Linked DNA regions of Caenorhabditis elegans. The protein of the gene in region 1 interacts with the protein of each later gene in a pairwise test. Each region holds a gene or a part of one and is shown on either strand. Other genes may lie near its edges.

The links. Proteins that work in one complex are often made in the same cells at the same time.
Region 2: the proteins of akir-1 (region 1) and ima-2 interact in a two-hybrid assay, tested with the Caenorhabditis elegans proteins (one study listed by BioGRID).

What each region holds. Positions count from the first base shown.
Region 1 is NC_003279.8:4,134,160-4,140,687, reverse strand, and holds akir-1 (Akirin), read left to right. Parts: upstream 1-1,735; 5' UTR 1,736-1,742; coding exon 1,743-1,928; intron 1,929-1,957; exon of another isoform or gene 1,958-2,084; intron 2,085-2,120; coding exon 2,121-2,324; intron 2,325-2,354; exon of another isoform or gene 2,355-2,480; intron 2,481-2,577; coding exon 2,578-2,749; intron 2,750-2,796; coding exon 2,797-2,891; 3' UTR 2,892-3,527; downstream 3,528-6,528. Other genes in the region: gclm-1 (GCS light chain), read right to left, coding at 1-39, 1,106-1,130; dph-6 (Diphthine--ammonia ligase), read left to right, coding at 3,620-3,793, 4,170-4,436, 4,667-4,897, 5,281-5,358; srrt-1 (Serrate RNA effector molecule homolog), read right to left, coding at 5,626-5,783, 5,831-6,141, 6,198-6,528. UniProt on the Caenorhabditis elegans protein: Molecular adapter that acts as a bridge between a variety of multiprotein complexes, and which is involved in antifungal innate immunity, development of the muscle and sister chromatid cohesion.
Region 2 is NC_003279.8:6,312,436-6,317,767, reverse strand, and holds ima-2 (Importin subunit alpha-2), read right to left. Parts: upstream 2,536-5,332; 5' UTR 2,522-2,535; coding exon 2,426-2,521; intron 2,332-2,425; coding exon 1,996-2,331; intron 1,953-1,995; coding exon 1,572-1,952; intron 1,528-1,571; coding exon 950-1,527; intron 904-949; coding exon 699-903; 3' UTR 501-698; downstream 1-500. Other genes in the region: hrpk-1 (Heterogeneous nuclear ribonucleoprotein K homolog), read right to left, coding at 4-51; srg-14 (Serpentine receptor class gamma-14), read right to left, coding at 3,176-3,388, 3,431-3,604, 4,081-4,443, 4,788-5,018. UniProt on the Caenorhabditis elegans protein: Nuclear transport receptor that mediates nuclear import of proteins, and which is involved in sister chromatid cohesion. Binds specifically and directly to substrates containing either a simple or bipartite nuclear localization signals (NLS) motif.

The DNA of each region.
Region 1 (6,528 bases):
GAAATTGGTGGCAGTACGTCATTTTTCGAATGTGCTGCACTGAAAGAAAAGGACGTACACACTTTAAAAGTCGACGAAAATTGAGAAAGGTATATAAGAGACAAATAGAGCTCTCCGGGATGAACACCGATAGAGAGCAACTGCAGCAGTCTTGCTCTCGCGGAAATGACGAATGAAACAACATGACAAAATGGAATTGTCATCGTTTTTAGTTCGGCGCTCTCTAATTCTCTTTCTTTCCTTTTTCACATGCTTCTTCGCCTAAAGTCTCCGATTTCTCATCTCTCTCACCACCTTTATTTTCATTTCGCCTCCATTGGAAACCAAAACCACACACAGAATTGCTTGATGTGATTGCGATCTCGATTACATCACTCGTCGGGAGAGGAATTGTTTGGATATATTAGGGGTTGTATAGACAAAAAAAACCTAACATTAATGAATGATCGATAGAATTTAGCAAAAAAAGGAGAAACGGTACTGTGTATTTTGAATAAAAATTTAAAAATAAACCCCAAAATGCGCTCAAATAAACGAATTTTGTGATAAAACTTTTCAAAAATTCAGCCAAGCTTTGCTAAAATCCTCAGTTTTGGTCACTTTACCCGTGGACAATTCAAAATATCAACATCCGACCGCTGCGACACGGAAAAATTACCAAATTTGGAGATTTCAGCTGAAATTTTCTTTTTTTTTTCGAAATTTAGATATTTTTATATTCGAGAAGTTTGATTTGAGCCCATTTTGAGGTTGTACCTTCAAAATACCTAGAACCGTTACTTCTCCTTTAAGTTTTTTTTTGATAAGCCAAGATTTCCATTGCAAAAATCAAATTCTTATTGTAACAAAAATTAAAACGGATAGAGAAATATCTCTCTCCGTCTCTTCGTCATTTCGAAAATGATCAGTTTCGTTTTCTGACGAAAAAATTAGTTTATCTTCTTTTTATCTCAAAATCACGGCTTCAAATATAAAAAATCACTGCTATTTTAAAAGGAATTTTGAATTTTTGAAAAAATGTTGTATTTTTTAAATCAAAAATTCGGAGTAATATATTTAAAAATTGACTTTTTTCATTTTCATCAATTTTAGTTGCAATAATTACCGAAAAACCCTGCAAATTGTCGCATTTCAACGAAAATTCCGTTCGGAAAAGGATGGAAAATGAAGAGGCGTGGTGGGCGGTGTTTGAACTGGCGGCGCAGTTAGATCTGCAGGTTCTCTCTACCGTACCCCTCCTCCCCTCTCCCTCTCTCTCATTCAGTTCATTCATCGATTTTCGCATTTTCCTATCGACTCATCCGGCGTTCTGTTGCGTGGATTTTCGTTGATTTTCTTAATTATCGCTCGATTTAGGCCAGTTCTCTTGAAAAATATTGGAAAATAGCATGCCATTGTGTTGTTTCAAGACGCTTTTTTCTTTCGCCTGACGTTTATCGATTTTTGGGTCGATGTGTGGCCTCCCGCTGCTTTACACTACGACTAGTCTGCTCATTTCTTGCAAGATTTCACGTCAATATTCTTAGTTTCTACCACATCGAAAAGATTTATCTTTTAAAAATATTGTGTTTTTTCACGCGAGCAGTTCAAATGTTCTCCAAAATTGTCACTAACTCATTTTCTATCGATTATTTCGTAAGATTGGCCTTTCTCGTATTTCTCGATTTTATCTCGAATGTCTTCAACTCTTGTGTAAGAAATGTTACTTCTCGTAACCACAAATTATTTCTTTCAGAAGTAAAATGGCTTGCGGACTCGCACTGAAAAGACCTCTGCAACACGAGTATGAATCTTTTTTAACTGATGAGACATACAACGGAGAAGCAAAGCGAGCCAGAACGCAATGCCCTCCTTTCCGTGCTCAAATGGGAACTATTGCCGCTACACTGCCGTCAACCAGCACATTTGCTCAGAAGTTCAAAGAACAGGTAGATAATTGATATAATATGTTTAGATTTGTGTCATTTATTCCTCGGATAGTGATATTTGTTCCTTTTCGAGCTCATACTGACACAAAAGCAATGGCAGATTTGCAACTAGTTGCGTTCTACTTGATCGTGGCTATACTTTCTTCTGACCACATTTATTTTACCTAATATCGAAAATTATTCATTTTTCAGGAGGAAAGCGTCTTCCAAGCAGCTACACTTATGACTCGTTTGTCTCGAAATCAGCTCAAAACATATCTCAGTTCGGAAGTGAAAAACCTGCGCAAGCGAAAAGCCATTCCACGCAGCAATGACTTTGATGATGATGGAGATCAAAGAGGAGACGGATGCAGCTCAAACTACTCAAAAGCTTACAGAGCTCCTTCTTCTCCCAAGGTAGGATTATAGCTGAGCTATTCTTTTAGTTGTGTCTGTTATTCCTTTGCGAAATCCATTATTTCGTTGAGCTCAATCGGACACTATAGAGACGGCAGATAGCAACTAGTTTGGTTCCTTGTCATCGAACCGGCTATACTTATTTCTGACTACAATTAAATTAAAATAGTATACAACAAATTTATCTTCAGTGTTTTGAAATATCTTCAGTGTTTTGAAATTAACTATGGTTTTGTTAAAATCGAATTTTCAGTCTGGATCGGATTCCGAGGGTGAAGCACCATCAACATCTGTGACTGATCGTTCCAGCGCCAAGAGGGAATTTACAATGGCAAATGTTCAAATGATATGCGAACGTCTGCTCAAACAACAAGAAATCCGTCTGAGAAATGAGTTCGAAATGGTTCTGACTAAGAAGCTTGATGGTAAGATTTTCCATGAATAATATTTATTTTATAATTAACGTTTTCAGAGCAACACCAGCAATACGTCCAATTTGCTGCCGAGCAGCTGAACTCCAAATGTGTGAGCACTGGGGATGACTATTCCTATTCGTACCTCTCCTAAATCAATCATGGTCGGCCGATAAAACAGCAAAACATCCGTTCATAATCCCAATTTGCTTTTTTCTCAACATTTCAACAAAAATTTCTAAAACTAAATGAAGTTGAAACTACTTGCTTTTTGAAGTCTTTTCTACTTTCTTTTTTTCGTATAATTTGAACTTTTAATCGTCATTCTCCCCCTCCCCTCCACAGTTTCTTGATCACTGGTATGTTTCAAAGTTAAATGCGGTTTTTCTGATGGTTTTCTCCCTCATTTTTCCGCTTCCCTCCACTCCCATCGCCTTTGACCTTTTCTTTTACCTCTCAATAGGCATTGACTGTACGAGGTTTTTATTATGAAATTAAAAAGAGATTAGATTTTCGTAGCTTCCTTTACACATTACAGCTTCTTTTTGGCCTTTTTTTGTGCTCGCACCCACCCTTTCATTGTGAATGTGATATTATTTGTGAGCATTTCCACCTTCCAATCTAAAATTGACCCTGCTCACTTCCCACCAATCTCCTCTCCCCTAATCGATAATTTTCGTTGTGTGACCATCTATTTTATTATTCCCCCTTTTTCTGCCACTATGTTTCATTATCTCCCATTGCTACTTTTTCGCTTTCCATCGTTTTAAATAAAGAGTGCTTCGAAGAATCGTTGTGGAAATTGCTTTAAAAAAAACGTTTATTCGATCAATACACCAAAAATCGAAATTCTCCCCTCTAGTCTCGAGAATTTTCAGCGAAATGCAAGTAGTCGGACTAATTTCTGGTGGTAAAGACAGCTGCTACAACCTGATGTGTGCCGTGCGAGAGGGCCATCAAATCGTGGCACTTGCAAATCTGCACCCACCGAAAGATGCAAAATCAGATGAACTTGATTCATACATGTATCAAAGTGTTGGAGCAGATGGAGTTGAGGTTGGGTCCTGCCACGAACCGAGATAGAAAAGGATGAAGAAACGACACCCTTTACCCGGACGCAGAGGATTTTTGTGCTGAAAATATGGTCTCGACGCGACATATTTTTTCTCAATTACAAAAAGGTGCGCGCCTTTAAAGAATTCTGTAACTTCTATCGATTTTTCATAGTTTTCCGTGAAAGTTTATTCATTTTTTTGAAACTCAAACGTCACAATGCATGAATTTTCAAATTTGAAATTAGAGTAATCTTTAAAAGCGGACACCTTTTTGCAATGAACAAAAGTTTGTCGCGTCGATCCCTGTATTTATTCAATAAATCACAAAATTCCGCGTCTGAATAATTTAATAAATTTTAATAAAAATGGATTTTCAGCTGTACGGTGAAGCCATGCAACTTCCTCTCTATCGACGAGAAATCACCGGTGAGCCGAAAAATCAAAAGTCGGATTACGAGAAAACAGATGGAGATGAAGTGGAGGATCTGTTCGAATTGTTATGCGAAGTGAAAAAGCATCATCCAGAAGTAAAAGGAGTATCGGCTGGAGCAATTCTTTCGAGTTATCAGAAAGTTCGAGTTGAAGACATTTGCCGGCGGCTTGATCTCGTTCCACTTTGCTTTTTATGGGAGAGAGAACAAAATGTAATTATTTATTGTCATTTCACATGCCTTCTTAAAGGGACACGGGTGTATTCAGCTGGGTCTCGGCGCGAAAAAAGTTAATGGTAGTCTATTTTTTCTCTTTGATTTGCCAAAATAAATGAAAAAAACTGCAAAAAAGATACGAGACACGCCGAGGATAAATCGGTGCGCCTTTAAGAAGGTATATATTTAAAATCCTTTAAAAAAAGTTTACGAACAATTTTTTCCAGGGCCTTCTTGCCGAAATGGTAGAAAATGGTCTCGACGCGATTCTCATCAAAGTGGCCGCCATTGGGCTCGGCGAGCAACATCTCGGAAAAACGTTGTCAGAAATGGCACCAATTATGAAAGTTCTTCAGGATAAATATGGAGTTCATCCGTGCGGTGAAGGTGGAGAATTCGAGTCATTTGTACGAGATTGCCCGCTTTTTAAAAAGCGAATTGTTATCGATGAAACGGAGGTAGATATTACACAATTCTGAGAATGCGTATGGTGCAACATATTTGGCGAGCACAATATCGTGTAGCGAAAACTACCGTAATTCTTCAAATGACTACTGTAGCGCTTGTGTCGATTTACGGGATTGATTTTCGAAAATAATTAAAATTCTTTATTTATCGAAAAAATATAGAAAATTATGTGAAGAAACCCTGTCACTATTCGAAAAGAAATTAATCTCAAAAAATCTAGCCCGTAAATCGACAACAGCGCTACAGTAGTCATTTAAAGAATTACTGTAGTTTTCGCTACGAGACAATCTGCGCGTCAAATATGTTGCGCAATACACATTCTCAGCTCCCGTAATACTTGAAATCCAACTTTCAACATTCTGTATTTTTCCAGACAGTAACCCACCAAGATGATCCCATTGCTCCTGTGTTCTACCTCCGACTGAAAAAGATGCACTTGGAGGACAAGTGAGATGGGAAAACATGTACTTTTGTTAATTTTAAATGTTATATTTACTTTTCTTGTTATGATGATTGTTTTCTAATAAAAAGTTCCGTTGAGTTACACAGAATCATATTTCATTAGGGACGTATTGAAAATGGAGCGTTTTTTAAAAAAGGAGATTATTATTGGCCATACAAAAACATTTAGTTAAAACTAATATTTAATTGAGAAGGGGGAAATAAATAGCATAATTTGTTGTGCATATATTTGAATTGGATTCAACGTAGGATGGAATTATGGAATATCATCTGGAGCATCCAAATCGCGATACGAGACTGGCTGACGACGTGGCGCATCCTCGAAGTAGCGTCCACCACCACCTCGTCCACCAAGTGAATGTCGAGGAGGGAATTGGGGACGACGATCATATCCTCCACCGCCAAAAGAGTTTCCTGAAAATTAATCATATTTATGAAATTTCAAGAGTTGAACAACTCACTTCCTCCACCACCAGGTCCTCGATCATCGTCTCGTTCTCTTCCATATCCACCTCGCTCACCACCACCACCTCCACGATGATCATCTCTTGGAGCTTGTTTGGGCTCACAGTCGACTGGTCTTTGGGCGTCGGCAAGATAATTGTTGAAAAAGTCAGCTTCTGCTCTCGCTTCCTCCAGCTTGTCTTCATGTTTAGACTGCAAGTGCTTTCGGATGAATTCAGGTCCCTTGAATTTCTTTCCAGAAAGCGGACAGAGCCATTTATCCTTTGCCAACTCGACAGTATTCTTTTGAATAAAAGCTTCAACTTCCCTGAAAATTTGGGTTTGTTAAAAATTATTTTTAAAAAAGCAAATTTTTTCACTTACTTTTCTCCATCCTTCTTGCCCATTTTCTCCAATTCTTCCTCGCTTACATACTGCTTTTCAATCAACCCTTTCTCAATGCGGCTATTGAATCCCGAAATAAAATCGTTCACAAATTTCTGTGGAACGACGAGAGCTCCATCCTCGTCAGTAGTGATTGATACTCCAGAAGGCGGCTGCCCACGAACGTGAATCAAGCCACATCGATTCGGCATCGAATCTTCCTGCGCATAATGTCCGTGATTATAAAAATCGATGGAATGAACAATGCGAAGGTAAACGATGAGAAGATCGAGAGCCTTCAGGATATTATCATCGCGCTCAAACCGAATCT
Region 2 (5,332 bases), 2.2 Mb from region 1:
TACCTTCGGACTGTCTGTTCCATTAATAGCGGCTCCCACTTTGATCATCATTTTGAGTTTGGATGTACTGCAATTAATGTGTGATTTAACGAATTATATTGAATTTTAATTATTGGAAAAAGCTGAGAAATTTGAAGTAACCGAGAAATAGCTGTGAAGAAGTTTAAAAAACTTTTTTAGGACTATGAGCCGGATCTTGTCAAGTTTTGTTATCCTAACCAAACATTATTGTGACAAATGCTTCAAGTGGAAATTATTTTTCAAATTTCGTGATAAAATCATTAAAATTAACGACAAAAGGCATCATTTCAGTTCAGCCGGAAGAAAAGAAAAAACAAGGGATATTGAGTCCAGATTAAAGGCGCAGACAATTTTCAGATGGGTCCCGCGACGAACACATAGACAAAAACGCGGATGTTCAAATTAGCGAGTGAACAGTTCAACAAAGAAACATGAATGCGTATTGAAAAATACGCGCATCGTTTTCCCGGTTATAAAAATCATATGTTCCACTTTCTTTTCATTCTAAACAAATTGTCAATTTAAAGTGAAGAGATCAGTTAAAACGGGGTCAAATATAAATACGGGTAATACACACAGATGAGGGTAATTCTAAAAAAAACAATCCAATGTTAAATGTGAGAAAGAAGAATGTTACTATGAAATGACTACTAGAATGATGATAAGTGTGAAATAATTTAGAAACTCCATTTGTTATCTTGTGGATCGGCATTCTCATGAGACTCCTTCTCTCCAGCATCATCGTCGGTGAAGAATTGAGTGATGATGCGGTAAGCCTGAGTATAGATCTGCTCCGATTGACTTTCCTGGAGGCGCTCCAAACTGTCAAGTCCACCATTCTCTTCGACTTGGTCGTGAAGAATGTCCACTTTGTGAGGGTAACTGGAATCACATTTTTGAGAGTGCTAATTATCTAATAAAAACATACCCATTCTGAACAGTGAGCATAAGAGTATACAGAGTCTCCAAAGTATTATTCAGCATATCAGTGTTAGTTTGAAGAAGGGCTTGGCACAAAGCAGGCACTACATTGTCTTCAAGCATGGCGACAACTTGACGATTTGTTCCCCCTTGAGCCAAATTAGAAAGAGCCCAAGAAGCCTCGAACTGGCACTTGTGATCTCCCGACTTCAGAACATTGATGAGAACTGGGAGAAGATTTGCGTCGAGGACAGCTTGAATCTGCTTCTGAGTTCCAGCAATAATGTTGGACACCAACCAGCAGCACTCCTTCACAATGCTTGATGATCGCGTCTTTTCCATCAATGGAAGAATTTCATCGAGTGATCCCAAGTCGATAACCGCCTGTGTCAGCGAGTCATTTCCAGTTGCAACATTACCAAGAGTTCGGAGAGCCGGAGCAACAAGGTTTTCAGCTTCTTTGAAGAAAGCGACGACGTGAGGAAGCACACCACTTTCTCGTGCCAATTCGATTTGCTCATCTGGTCCATCAGTCAAATAAGAAACAGCCCAGCATGCGTCTTGACGGACTTGACGGTCCGTGTGCTAAAGTGAAGACGTTAATTGCGATCGAACATTTTGACAATTACCTGAACAAGTTTGACAAGACCTTTCGACAGAACACGAAGAACTTCTAATGGGGCATGTGGATTCTTATGACGGCACATGTTGGAGAATGCCCATGCAATGGTACGAACATGCGAATCTCCCAGTTGATCGACTTTCTCCATCAAATGCATCAACGCCTCCACTCCATGGCATTTAATAACATAATCACGAAGTTGAGATGAGTCTCCAGCAATGTTAGCGACTGCCCACAAAGCTTGCTCCGAGATCTGCGCACTCTGATGAACTGAAAGATGGATCAGTGGAATTGTTACTCCGGCTTCAACAGCTGCAATTGTTTGCTCGGTGGAACCGGAAACGATATTGGTAAGAGCCCAAGCTGCTTCATATTGAACACGCTCGTTCTGAAAATTGGAAATTATTGAATGGAAATAAAGATCGACCTACCTCAACGCTCAATGCCTGAACCAAAGCCTGAAGCAAACCGCAGTGAATGACTTCATCAATAGGTGGATTCTTCGTCTTTGATAGTGATTTTCTCAACGACTCGAAGCATCGAACCATATCATCTTCCGATGGATTGTTGGAGAGAATAGCTCTAATCTCATCATTTGACAAACGGGTTGATGATTGCTGATGAGATATCTTCTCTGGCTCCTCGAGCTCCGATTCCGAATTGCCACCTTCATCGACGTCGACGATGTTACGGCGTTTCATCATCATGTCCGCTCCTTTTTGCTTTCGAATTTCAACACTGCATTCAGTACGACGACGACGGAGCTCCTGAACAGAACAAATAAATAAATCTCGCAATTACTTTAAATAAGTCGGATAGTAACATTTTTGCATGAAATCTGTTATCAATAATTTAACATACTTCATGCTTGGTGAGATTCTTGTACTGTTGAAGGCGGCCTCCCTCATCCTTTCCCTCTTCGGCATTGTGAGACAGGCTGGTTTCGGTGAGAGTCATAGTTAAGCTTCAATCTGGAAGAACTTATGTGAATATTAAACAAAAATAACACTATTAGAAAAAAGTAGGAGTTTCTGATTCGAAAAAGTTCGGAATAAATCACCTCCATACTTTTTAATAATAAATTTCGCAACGAGATAAATGGGAACTAGTTAAACAGAACTAAAATTTCATGAGAATATTACAAATTCAGTTGAAAAGAATGAGTGGTGAAACTATTTAAGAAAGAAAAGGAGGAAACATTGGGCGATGAAAGCAGAAATGAGCGCCGCGGCCCAAAATTGTTATCAAAAAGTGTAACCTTCGCGCCGAAATTCGAAATGTTGAAGCGAATAAGGCGCCAATAAAGAGCGTTGGCGCCAAACTGATTTTTGGCGGTAACTTAAAATCGAATTGTTTGCTTTTAAAAAATCGCATTAATGCGTATTCATGGAATGTTTTTGAGGAAAAGATTTATACTTCCGAAAATATATAGATTTTCTAGCCCTACAAAAATGAAAAATGCAGAAAACACAAACTCCAATATAAATACCACGATATATCTAACCTTAATTGTACAGTAATCTACCGTAGTTCTAAAAACGGTGCAGCATGCATTTCAACATGATTGAATAAAACATACTGTTGAATAAACAATACTTTATTCGAAAAAGTTCAACGAGCAATCACCATTCCGGAAGTTCTAGTTAACATTTTTGACAGTGTCTGATTTTTTCGTTTACTTTTAAAAATGTGAGTTCGAAGATTTCTGCTAACACATATCATTACAATTGGAGAACCAACAGTTAAAAAGTCTAGAGCTAAAAAGCTAAATCCATAAACGGGGCTTGATGCATCAGTGTATGAGAAGAAAAAGCTGTAGTATATCTGAATGTTCTAGATATTTTTTAAAATTCAGAAGTTAATAACCTGAAATAAAACTTTAAAAGTGAACCCAATGGATATGATAACCGTTGCATTAGAGATTGCTTTTTCTATTTCTTTTGATCTTTCTGGAAGTTTTAACAAAGTAATTGCAGTGCATATAAATGTAAATGATAATGCAATAATAATAAAAACAAGTTGAAAACGAGATTGGCTTGCCTGAAACAATAAATATTAAATATAATGTACATATTTAATGTGCTCCCAGCCTCAGTTCTTGTCACGAACAAGTGTGTTGGGTTACTGTACCCGCTTATCTTCTCGTTTTCCCAGAACTTTTCAATATTTCAGAATTAAAAAACGCATAATTCTAGAAATATGATCAACACAAAAAGAGAGAATGACAAATAGAAAGATTGATGATCTATCATTGTTGCGGGTACGGTAGCTGAAAAATTTTACTCGTCTCGGGATCCGAGACTGTTGAACAAAAAGTTCAGTCGAAAGTGTAGTTTTTCGCATGTGAGGTAATATGTCTAATTTGGTATAATCTGGAATCCTTAAAGTCACACTCATTTATTTTGTAAGGGTCTCTCCAGTTCATCTTTTATTTTTCTGTATGTGGTTCATTAAAACAGTTTCTTCAGTTTCTTTTAGTTTTAAAACAAAAAAGAAATGGAAACAGATGAACTTACCCAGCTAACTTTCTTGAAATAGCTAACCCAGAAACCTCCATACGTGGATTGCATGTAAACTCGAGATATAGCAATATTCCAGTCAGCACAAAATGGAATTAAAAAAACTGCACTAATCACATATTTCAAGCTTTTTCTCCATATTGAATCGTGCGTTATTGGAAACAGGACACACGTCATTCGATTTAAAACTAACAAAACTTGTAAAAGGGATTTACAAATTGATACATGATGAGTTAATAACATTATAATCTTAAACCCAACAAGCGGAGATTGAAAGTAATCAGCGAGAACAGGGCATATTGGTGTAAAGTAAATAAAGAAACGAGCAAATAAACCTTCTGTTATAAGAATTGATATGTTCTGAAGAAAGTACGGTGCCCATTTGAAACCTAATGAAACAACAGATTCAAACAGAAAGGTCTTACAGCGAAATAAATTTATAGTAGCACTTGTGACTTTTTCGTTTATACTTTTTCAATTCAAATTAAAATTCTGATACTCACCAGAAAATCAAGTAAACCAATAAAACGGAAAAAAAATTTGCAACGAAGGCAAAAGAGAAATGAAATTTTCATGAAATTTTCTTTCAGTACAACCTTTTTGTATTATACGATGCTCCGCGCTTTGTTTTTTTGTTGCAAATTTTAATTATTAATTTCTTCCGAAAATCTCTGAAACTATGAGTTATTAAAAAAAACACTTACAGCTATACAATCAACCGAAAAAAGAGTAAAAAAAGAGTTCGTGGAATAAACTTCTCTACATCTCCAGAGAATAGTCCCCAATACGGCCGAATTCAAAAATATCCCAGTAATAATGTAAATTATTTGAGCTGTGAATTTTAAAACTTCAATGTTTGTATTATAGGATAAATCACAGTCTACAGGAATTGGATCAATATCAAGATTCTTCATGTCAGGCGAGAAATCTGACATTCTAAAGACCCTAGGATCGACAAAGAAAATGAAATATTGGAAATAGAAATTCAATGAAAAGAAAATCTCAAAGTGCCAATTATGCCTGGAGGGGTGCGAAAATAGAGAAAAATGTTTGATCACGCAAAGGTTGCATGTCTATAAAGTTTGGACACATGATGATATTAAACACGAAACATATAACATTTTGATAATAAATTGTTTGAATATCTTGGGAAAACGAATAACAATTAAATTAAAATTAATGATTTATAAAAATATTATTGTAGCATTGAAAATGTATTAATTGTAGGCAAGTAAAGCTACATTTGGTT